Arabidopsis thaliana: one gene and its partners. The protein of the gene in region 3 purifies or fractionates together with the protein of the main gene of each other region. This does not show direct contact. Each region holds a gene or a part of one and is shown on either strand. Other genes may lie near its edges. The genes, in order: AT4G29710, AT4G29700 and AT3G59510.

Region 1 (3,167 bases), on a different chromosome or scaffold from region 3:
CATCACCTTTTTACTATATATCACTAAAATTGATATTATGAAAAGGATTTAATCATCTCAAAATGAAACCAAAGCCCATACGAATTACTCTGTATGAGTTAAAATAATGTTCTTATCTATTTTTTGGTAATGCAATGTTCTTATTGCGAGAAAAAAGTTGAAAAATTTACCTGATGCTTCCATTATTTTTCTTACGGTTTGAGAATGTACAATTCATTATCTTTTTGTACATCCTTAACATGATCATTTTTGTGTTCTTTTTCGTTTTGCAGTTTTGATTTTTTTATTAGCTATAGTGCACTTGGGTTGATATGTGAATTAAGTAAATTATCTAATAGGTATAAAAAAAAATTATGTTGGTTGTTGTTCCTTTATAAAGCTTTTTGTGATTATTATGTTATACAAAAGTAGACCTCTCTAACAAAATTAAAGTAACACACTATATATAGGGAAGCTTATAGCTTTTTATACACACCCCAAGTTGTTTAAGAAAAAGATATGTCTAATAAAAATAAGATGTATGGAAAATAAAATGTGCTAAGAAGGAATCTAGGTAGCAATAGGTCTTTGGTCATTTATTTTTGTACCTAGACTTTTGATTTGTTATCTCAAAGTGAACCAAAGTGATGATTAAAACAAAGTGTCCAATATTGAAATGCACAGAGATGGCCAAATGAGTAAGTTTACATGGCTTCTTTGCATTTTTCTGTCCCTTCGCTAAAATTCAAAAGGTTGGTGCTGGTTAACATCTTATTGGATCTGTACTTTTCTAATTTGGTTACATGGTCCCTTTTCATTTTCATTCCATGGTAATTCAAAGAAAACAAGATGAAGCAAATGAAGTCAAATTTATGTTATGTATTTGACCAGTATATAGATTTATGGTCCTAAACTCTTAATCATGAGATGAACATGAAATCCAAACTATTCTTTGATTCATGATTGTGACTTTGTGAATCTATTTGTTAGAACTATTGTAACATACAACAAAATCACGATCATTTACCAACAAATCACAATTTTCTCACTATAATCATTATCTTTGTCGATATCATATGTGTGACTATGACACATGATCATGCCTTATTTATGGAAATAAAAAAAACTCGAGTTGAAAAGTATCTTCCATCATAAAAATCAAGTCATGAAATCGATAAACGTACCATCAATCTTGTTATGTAAACTACTAGTTAGAACTTAGAAGGAATCAAGGAAAAAAAAAAGTCAATTAACAAAAATAGTAAAATACCAATATATTAAAAAATATTTCTATCAAAATTAAATTTAGAAAGTTTTCTTATAAAATTTTGTTTGGGCTACATTCAGAGCCCAGTAATTTCAAAGACCCATAGGATCGAAGAACTTCAAAACTAACCAAAAATAAATTAGCATGTGCTTTTTGTCCAAAAAATTAGCATGGGCTTATACTTCCCTTTATAAGCCCTTATATCAACACTGGCCATATTTACCACGAAAGGATATATCTCGATGTAACAAACACGTGAGTCAATTTCAAGTCAGTAAGATCAGATCATATCAACGGTCTACCACGTCTGGGTCATGATCATATTATTCGTTTTGGTTGAGTCATATCATAAATATAATGATAAATTGATATTGTGTCTTGTACGCTTTTACCTAGTTTTGGCATTGTACTTATTATAGGAAACTGTTCCTCGCTGCAAAGTTGTAAATATTATTCACGGGGAATTATTCATAGATTCCCTTCACGTTTTGAAAAATAACAAAACTGACAGATCAGCCAGTCGTTGAAGTTGAAGAGCCCACCACGAAATGTTTTATCTCAAAGGTAATTTACGTGAGTAAAATCAAGACCGTAAGATCAGATATCAACAGCTCTCATACATCTGGATCATGCAGATGACAATAATGATACTATGAATTTTACCCAACTCTTGTAGTGTTATAATTATTAAAGGAATCTGTTTCTACTGTAACATTTTTCACAAACTGCCATAGATTTAAAACAAAACAAACAAAACAAACATCGAGAATCAAGGCGAAAAGAACGCTGAAGTGGTGGCAAAGATGAACGAAGCTTTGAGCTCAGGGAAAGTAAAAAACGGAGAGTTTTTGACTGTTTACTTGAAGGAGAAGTTACCGGACAGACTGCATTATTCCCAGAGTTATCGGATTCCACCAATCATAGGAATGGTCGGAGAAGGTCTAATTGTCAGACAAAATAGAACTAATGCTCAAGAATGCTACGGAGACCATGGTTATGACAACAAGTTCTTCTCAATGAGGACTATTTTTGTCGGACATGGTTCTAGGTTTAGGAGAGGAAAGAAAGTGCCATCGTTTGAGAATGTGCAGATCTATAGCGTCGTTGCAGATATTCTTGGACTCCGACCAGCTCCGAACAATGGTTCTTCTTTGTTCCCTCGGAGCATTCTCTTGCCTTTCAGAGCAACAAGGGGGTTAGAATGAAGCCAAAAATCTCTTATAGCTCAAGAGAGCACTCAGACTCAGAAATAGTAAGTAGCTTGATAAATGCGAGTGAGTGACTAGCTAGTGTATGTTTTCTATAATTCTATGTGACATTATATTTTCGATCGCGTACGCATATACCTTATCATTACCTAAATTGTTCCTAAATATTACAAAATATCATATTTGTATGATGGATGTGTAGTAACTAAAAACCATTCAGTATTCAATACTCAACTAGAAAATAAAGTCCACTGGGTCATATTATCTAAAATCTTATCAAAACTCAAAGGCTAATACAATACAATCTTATTTGGGATCAATTACGAGATCAGCACAATTAAGTCTGTGCCTTTGTCTAGTTAGGTAACTTCTCATATGCTTATAAAAATAGGTACTTCTCTCTCTGTTTATGTTACGCTTTCACCCTTCTGCAATTTTTCTTCATTTTTCCAATACTTCTCTCAATGGTGATGACGGTGAACTACGTTGACAATAACGAACAATTTTTTGGTTTAGAATTAGTGATGAATTGGGGATTAATTGATTTGAATCTTTTTTAAGAGTAGAACCCTTGGGTTTCTTAGATAGTATTCTTAGGGTTTATATTTCTTCCATAACAAATCGTTTAACTTGATTGATTGGATTAATTTGAGACGACGTTTTGGTGACGGAGAAAATTGGAAACAAAAGAGATAGTGTTTTTGATGGACTTA
Region 2 (4,452 bases), on a different chromosome or scaffold from region 3:
TGAGTGACTAGCTAGTGTATGTTTTCTATAATTCTATGTGACATTATATTTTCGATCGCGTACGCATATACCTTATCATTACCTAAATTGTTCCTAAATATTACAAAATATCATATTTGTATGATGGATGTGTAGTAACTAAAAACCATTCAGTATTCAATACTCAACTAGAAAATAAAGTCCACTGGGTCATATTATCTAAAATCTTATCAAAACTCAAAGGCTAATACAATACAATCTTATTTGGGATCAATTACGAGATCAGCACAATTAAGTCTGTGCCTTTGTCTAGTTAGGTAACTTCTCATATGCTTATAAAAATAGGTACTTCTCTCTCTGTTTATGTTACGCTTTCACCCTTCTGCAATTTTTCTTCATTTTTCCAATACTTCTCTCAATGGTGATGACGGTGAACTACGTTGACAATAACGAACAATTTTTTGGTTTAGAATTAGTGATGAATTGGGGATTAATTGATTTGAATCTTTTTTAAGAGTAGAACCCTTGGGTTTCTTAGATAGTATTCTTAGGGTTTATATTTCTTCCATAACAAATCGTTTAACTTGATTGATTGGATTAATTTGAGACGACGTTTTGGTGACGGAGAAAATTGGAAACAAAAGAGATAGTGTTTTTGATGGACTTAAAAGTGATGGTGTTGACAAATATGGTGCTTATGAAGCAAGTGCGGCAGTGAGAAGGGATTGAGGATTTGAGTTGCAGAAAAAATTGTTGACAACGATGGTGTTGTTATCAACACTATAACCTCTAACAAGGGGTAAAACCGTCATATCCCCTATCAATATATGCTTATTTCCATAAGTCCATTCAAAAAATTCATTTTTTCTAATTATTGGGCTAAAATGTGTCCAATCTTACAAAAGCCCCATCTTATTTGGCTACATTCTATTATTGGCTGGTCCCCAAACACTTTTAAACCGTATAGAGTTGGCATAAGCGTATTTTACATTTATAGGGACAAGGGTCAAACACAGGCCATCCAGTCACCACGAAAGGATCGGATATATCTCAACGTGAAAACACGTGAGTTAAATCAAGACCGTAAGATCAGATATCAACGGCTCTCCCGCATCTGGATCATGCAGCTGACAATAATGTGAACGTGACTTCTACCTAACTCTTATATTGTACTTATTCAAGGAATCTATAATTATTTTTCACAAACTGCCATAACGATTTAGAAAAGTAGTCAAAATTCCAAAAGTTGGAGGATATTTTTTTTATTGTCATTTGACACAAATATATAGAGTAGTAAATGTAATCTTTCATGTCCAAATTTTATTTTTGACAAATACCTCAATATGTCCGATTTAAATTTTCTTTTGTCAACGTCCCTTTAATTTTTTTAATCAATTTTTTGTACTTCATTGTAATAATATGATCACTAATAACATTTCCATTATTTCAATAACTGATTAATTTTTGCTATGTGATATTAATGATGTAATCTAAAAATTGTTGTACTAGTGAGTAGTGATGATTTATCAATCAAAACACCAACTCAACACCCAAGCTATAATATATACAAAAAAAAAAAAAAAAATCTAAACAGACAGGCAATTAAATATCCTCCTTAATTAAAGACAAAACCCCAAATAATTCTGATTTTATATATCACTAGCTATTATGTACCAACTACCATCGATCGCCCATGCATTACATGAGCAATATGCAGCATCAAAATTTCAATAAAAGTCTAATTCTGTTATTAAAAAAGGGAGAAATTACATTCTCACGCTCTATAAATAACATGAGCTGCAAGAACCATAACAAACCTTATTTCAAATGGCTAAAACCAAAAATGTTATTTCTTTCAAACTTTCTCTCATCTTCCTTCTTAATATTTTCATCGTAGCCACCATCGCAGCCGCAGCGGCCGTTAACGCCGGTACCAAAGGTTTGGATTCTCGGCCGTCCAAAACCAGGCGTCCCTGGCCTTTCAAGAAGCTCAACAAACCGGTGGTTTTAATGATCTCTTGCGACGGTTTCCGGTTTGGTTACCAATTTAAAACGGACACACCAAACATCGACCTTCTCATATCCGGAGGAACTGAGGCCAAACACGGTTTAATCCCGGTTTTCCCCACCATGACATTCCCAAACCACTACTCTATCGCAACCGGACTCTACCCGGCTTACCACGGTATAATCATGAACAAGTTTACCGATCCGGTTACGGGAGAGGTGTTCAACAAAGGCTTACAACCAAAATGGTGGTTAGGTGAGCCGCTGTGGGTAACCGCAGTAAACCAAGGTCTCAAGGCTGTGACCTACTTTTGGCCAGGCTCTGAAGTTCTAAAAAGTTCTTGGACTTGCCCTGAAGGATATTGTCCACATTTCAATCTTTCAGTTCCTTTAGAAGAAAGGGTTGATTCGGTCTTGAGCCATTTTGATCACCTTGAGGACGAAGTTCCTGATTTACTGATGTTGTATTTCGATGAGCCAGACCAATCGGGTCATAACTATGGTCCTGATGATCCTCGGGTTACGACTGCTGTTTCTAGGGTTGATAAAATGATTGGTAGGGTGATAAAGGGGCTGAAGCAGAGGGAGATCTTTGATGAGGTTCATGTGATATTGCTTGGTGATCACGGAATGGTGACCAACTGTGAGTGTAACGAGAAAGCGATTTACATTGATGACTTAGCGGATTGGATCAAGATACCCGCGGCTTGGATCCAGGCTTACAGCCCAGTGCTAGCAATCAATCCTCAGTGGGGGAAAGATGTCGAGAATCAAAGCGAAAAGAACGCGGAAGTCGTGGCGAAGATGAACGAAGCTTTGAGCTCAGGGAAAGTAAAAAACGGAGAGTTTTTGAAAGTTTACTTGAAGGAGAAGCTACCAGAGAGACTGCATTTTTCAGAGAGTTATCGGATTCCACCGATCATAGGAATTGTCGGAGAAGGTCTAATGGTCAGACAGAACAGAACAAATGCTCAAGTTTGCTATGGAGACCATGGTTATGACAACGAGCTCTTCTCGATGAGGACTATTTTTGTCGGACATGGTTCTAGGTTTAGTAGAGGAAAAAAAGTGCCATCATTCGAGAATGTGCAGATCTATAACGTCGTTGCAGAGCTTCTTGGACTCCGACCAGCTCCGAACAATGGTTCTTCTTTGTTCCCTCGGAGCATTCTCTTGCCTTCTGGAGCAACAAGGGAAGTAAAATGAAGTAAAATCACTTAGCTCATGAATAATAAGTAAGATGATAATGAGTGACTAATCTATGTGCTCAATCTTGTGACCCTTAATGTTTTTGAATAACCAGGTTTCGTGGACTGAAGCGACGTTAATAGAACAATTCGGCATCTTTTCTTTTTTTATTCGAATGTATATATCTAAATCATTACCTAAATTGTTCCTAAAATAATTCAATTAATATCATTTTTGTAGGATGTTTAGTAGTAAGTCACATCACACACTATGCAATACTCAAAACTAATTATTTCTACTTATATATATATTGCAGTCAGTCACATGTACCTCTCAATCCATAAAAGTCCAGTTTAGTAAATATTATATTGATAGTAACGTTTATTCAACATATCATGATCTACTTGATATGAATTAATTTATTACATTAAAGTTACTCAATAATAGTGATGTAAGAAGATCTCTCTTTCTCACTCTCCCTCGATATGTCAATTGTTCGATATAGAAAACTCTTGGACTTGTTTAATTTTGGGAGATAAGATTGGAAAAGAGCAGACCCATGCATCAACAGAAAGAGGGGTTGTTTTTTCCGTAGTTAATTCCTTTACCAAATAAATCTCTTCAACTTTTGAGGTAATTTTGATTTGAAAGGAGACGTTTTAGAGACCAAACAAATGGTGGTTCATATACTTTGTTCCTAATACATTTTTTTCTTTTTTTTATCATTGGAAAGTATTTTAAGTATATTTGATTTTTTAGATCTTGGAGACTAAATTTTAGATTTTGGCTAGAAATCTATTCCAATTAAAATATATAGATTACTCACCGTTTTCTTTATCATTTCACCAATTTCCATTGTGTTGATGAAGTCACGAATCTCGAGTCCGATCATATTCGGCCATCCCTATGTATTAATTAAAAATAAAGATCAGGACGTGAAAGGATTCTGAAAAACATGGGGAAAATCAGAAATCTCAACAACTTTTCAGTAGATGAGTCATTTAATTCATATGTTAATACTATTATCATAATAGCATTTAAAACCATACGATGCTTTTATTGATTTGAGATTAGAGAATCTATTACTTGCCGACAAGACAGTCAACACTTCAAAAAGTTATATCACCCACCATTACCTGCCACTTAACACTAGAAGAAGAATTAGTTAGTTAATCAAAAATAAAACACGAGAGATTCTTGTTATATATATAAAGAGAAAAAAAAAAGAACTTTGCCGCTCTATAAAGAATGTGAACGTTGCTAGAGCTCAACCAATCA
Region 3 (4,036 bases):
CCCCTCTCTTGGATATTGTGGCATATGCAGGCTATACTTTCACAGGCCTTTGTCTAGCTGTTCTTGGCAAGATAATCTGGGGATACTCTTACTATGTTTTGATTCCGTGGACCTGCTTATGCACTGGGGTATTCTTAGTGAAGACAATGAAGCGAGTTCTCTTTGCAGAATCTAGGAGTTATGACTCAAGCAGGCATCACTATCTCTTGATCTTTGTTGCTTTAGCCCAGTTTCCTCTTTTGATCTGGCTTGGTAACATTAGTGTGAATTGGCTCTTTTGAAACGCATTACGTTTATATTGTTGTGAAAAACACCTCTGAGGTTATGTAGCAGAATTTGGAATGTCCTCCTGATGGATATATTATATGGTAGTTGAGCTTTTTTGGTTTAGACTTCTGTATGTCAAACATCAATATGGAAAGAAAAGTGTTATCTCCCTTCCCTTTTCTGAATCTCACTTTTCATATACTACATTTCTAACATGATTGAAAACCGAACAAGGACATGAAATTTGCTTTGGTAATTATGCTTTCTAACAGAAACTGCTTCCCATGCGCTTGATCTCTACTCCAAGCTCCCCAGCATTGCATTGGTGCATTGTGATTTTGGCTTTTGTGTTCCTTGGCAGATTTGAACATTCTTAGGACATTGCAGACAGTTGTTCGATAGGTTTCCTCTGATCTGTTTGGTAATCTTTTGAAACTCCTCAGGAAGTATACCTGACAGGTAGTTGTTCTCCAAGTATAAGCTTCTCCATGAATTCTCCAGTCTTTTCCCATAAATCCTAGGAATATCGCCAGAGAACATGTTGCTCCGTAGATTGATATCCTTTAGGTTTTCATAAGTTGCCAGGTTCAGCGGAAGGTGCCCCTGTAAATGGTTTCCTTCAGCATCAAGCATGCGCAGGCGTGATCCTGTAACTTTAATAACCTCTATGGATATGAACTGGTTAAAAGACACATTGATGCGTGCAATCTCAGGGAATGTTAGGATTTCATGGCCAACGGTGCCTGAGAATCTGTTCTGGCTCACATCTAAAGACACAAGCTGTTTTAGCCTATGCAAGGGTGATATACGTCCTGCAAGGCTATTGAAACAGAGTGATAGAGTTCTTAGACTTGGGGGAAGCTTAGGAAGCATTCCATAAAGATGATTGTTACCGAGTTCTAATACTTGTAGCTTCCACAAGCCGTTGAGCGCAGGTATTCTTCCATCGAGATGGTTGTTTGATAGGACCAGGTGAGTCAAACTTCTCAAGGCTGAGATCCTTGGAGGGATTTCACCGGCGATACTGTTTTTCGACAGGTCGATGGTTTTGAGCTCCTTGAGCCGCGTGATTTCTGCTGGTATGTCTCCAGTGAAGAAATTTTCTGCTAGTGAGAGTTTGGTAAGTTTCCGGAGCTGGAACACAGATTCTGGTACTGGACCGCGGAATCTGTTTTTGTTGAGGCTAAGGACAGTGAGCTCAGTTAGGTTTCCTACTTCATCAGAGAGGAAACCGTCATAACCGTCATCATCAAGATCGATCTCTATAACCCGGCTAGTTGTGTTCTCCAGAGGGAAAGAACACATAACTCCCAAGAACGTCCCTGAGCCTTCACACGGGTCTTCAGAGAAGTCCCATGTGCTGAGGTAAGAGGATGGAGAGATGGAACTTGGATCAACGCTGCGTATTATAGACTCTAGAGCTTGAATATCAGATCGAAGAGTGGCTGATAGAACTGATGAAGGGACAATAAGTGAAAGAAGTAGAAAGAACAAGGACATGATGAATACTAAGGAAGAAGAAGCAGAAGAAGAAGATGGTAGTATTTTGACAGCCATTGTTATGGTTCTTCTTTAAGAGGAAAGATGGAACCATTTCTTTTTAAGTGAGTATTCTTGTAAGAAGAAGAATAAGGAGAAGAAGAAGATCGTGTTGAACCTAATTGGAATCTAACATGCTTCAAAGGGTTTTGGGTATGTTATTGGTGAGATTCACATCTTTGTAGCATCATCATTAATAAATGATATATCAAACAAAATATGGATTGACTCACATTTAGTTTTTCTTTTTCCATGCTTTTTCCGTTCACGGACTTGGACAATATCACTTTGTTACAATAAAAATCACAAACAAAGTGATAATAACTTATGGTTATTAATTTTTCATGAAGTTTTACTTTGAATTCAAACTTTTGTAAAATTCACATGATAGGCATGTGTCAGCTTGAAATTTGGAAGATAAATTTAGAATTCAATCTAAGAAACCACAAAACTAGAGGTGATCATTTGACCAATTATCTAAGTAAAGACTATTGAAACATTCCACAAAATTTTAATTTTAGTAATTCACTATATATAGACGTTTGATTTTACATATAAATACATTGATGATTCAACCAAAAGATACAGAAAACAAAAAAAAAAAATAAAACCAAAAACAGAAAAAAAAACAAAAAAAAAAACAAGAACCATTTAAAAAGCTTATCAAGCACAATGGCCATCGAAAAGAGAACCATGATTGCCTCCTTCATCATCGTTCTGATGATGGTAACGATGATCGCAACCAACGTTGAGGCCCGGAATCATGTCAAAATCAAGCCACCAGCAAACCCCAAGTTCTTCTTTTTCTAAATTGATGGCTCATAATGTTTACAAGAAATAAATGGTTGGCTTCAACAAGGAGCTTCAAGCCTTCAAGCATTAGTTAAACTAATGTTTACTTTTTATATATATATATATATATATATATATTCACTTTCATCCTCTTATTTGTTTTAGCTATGGGTGAGATTATCTAAATAAATTTTTATAAATAATAACATTTATACTTGAATAAAATAAACTAGTTTCAAATTTCAGTCACAAAGATTTATTTTATGTTGTAGCTAGAAATTAATAACAATTATCATTTATCAATATATTTGTTTTTAGTTTAAAGAGGGTATAATATCCTTAAATTAATAATATTAGTAAAATTGTGTTATTTAGTTGTCTTGTGTCTCGATATATAAGGATTGGTTCGTTCCATTGTAACTTAAATGATGAATAACAACAACGTACGTGAGAATTAGAATACTGAAAAGTGAAAACTACATAGTGTTTAAATAATTGTCGTCAATTGCTGGAATACATATTTGTGCGCCAAAATTTAAGGATGGGTTCAACAACAATAAAACGAACATAGTTTTGATATTGTCATTGTTGTTCATTGATAACGACAGTAAAAACAAAAGGCGAACATTCTTTTTATTTGTTTGTAATCTAGTATTAACAGACGATCAAAAACATGAATCTGTAATCCCAAATTTCTAATAAGTTGACAAACGATCTACCATGTTTAAATTTCAATTCGTCCAAATTTGTTAGTTATTATTTTGGTTACATGATATATAACCAAAGAAAAAAAACAATTTGGTTATATATATTATGTAGCTGACTTGATGAACTTTAGAAATTGTAAACGGATTTGTCTCTATTTATTTGGATTTCAGGCAGCTTATGTATGTTAGAACATCATGTGAATGTTAGACATGAACGTAAAAGAATAACATGTTAGCTAGGGACTAATTACCAAAGCCATATTTTGAAGAACAAAATCAAAATGAAAGTTTATTTTGACAAGAATAATAGCAAAACATTATTTAGCTATTTTTTTTAAAATGGAAATCTATTATATCAGTCATATTTAGCTATGTTTTTCGAAAAAAAAACATTATTGCTATGTGAGAAATTCAACCGTGATCCTATAACATTTTTTCCCACAATTAAACATTGAATTTTCCTATTCCAGATTTTTTATAGCTGGACAAAAGAATTCATGGTGAGAGGCCCAAGGTCTATTACGACCTAGGCCCAGTACCACAAGTCAAGCCGACACAGACAAAAAATTGGATTCAATGTTTTTTTTTCTGACTCGATTTGGTGAAAAGACGAAACTTTCTCCTGGAAAAATCTGGAACAAGTTAGCGCGAACACGACGAATCGAATCAGAGTCCCAAGGAAGAAAAGATCTCTCTTTCATCCTTCTGGAGAATTCATATACTTTGGTCGA

What was found.
Region 1: the proteins of AT3G59510 (region 3) and AT4G29710 fractionate together in Arabidopsis thaliana (co-fractionation; one large-scale study listed by BioGRID). This does not show direct contact.
Region 2: the proteins of AT3G59510 (region 3) and AT4G29700 fractionate together in Arabidopsis thaliana (co-fractionation; one large-scale study listed by BioGRID). This does not show direct contact.

What each region holds. Positions count from the first base shown.
Region 1 is NC_003075.7:14,546,285-14,549,451, reverse strand, and holds AT4G29710 (Alkaline-phosphatase-like family protein), read left to right. Parts: upstream 1-1,857; 5' UTR 1,858-2,049; coding exon 2,050-2,451; 3' UTR 2,452-2,667; downstream 2,668-3,167.
Region 2 is NC_003075.7:14,542,479-14,546,930, reverse strand, and holds AT4G29700 (Alkaline-phosphatase-like family protein), read left to right. Parts: upstream 1-1,620; 5' UTR 1,621-1,806; coding exon 1,807-3,192; 3' UTR 3,193-3,793; downstream 3,794-4,452.
Region 3 is NC_003074.8:21,987,889-21,991,924, forward strand, and holds AT3G59510 (Leucine-rich repeat (LRR) family protein), read right to left. Parts: upstream 1,960-4,036; 5' UTR 1,825-1,959; coding exon 565-1,824; 3' UTR 501-564; downstream 1-500. Other genes in the region: AT3G59500 (Integral membrane HRF1 family protein), read left to right, coding at 1-281.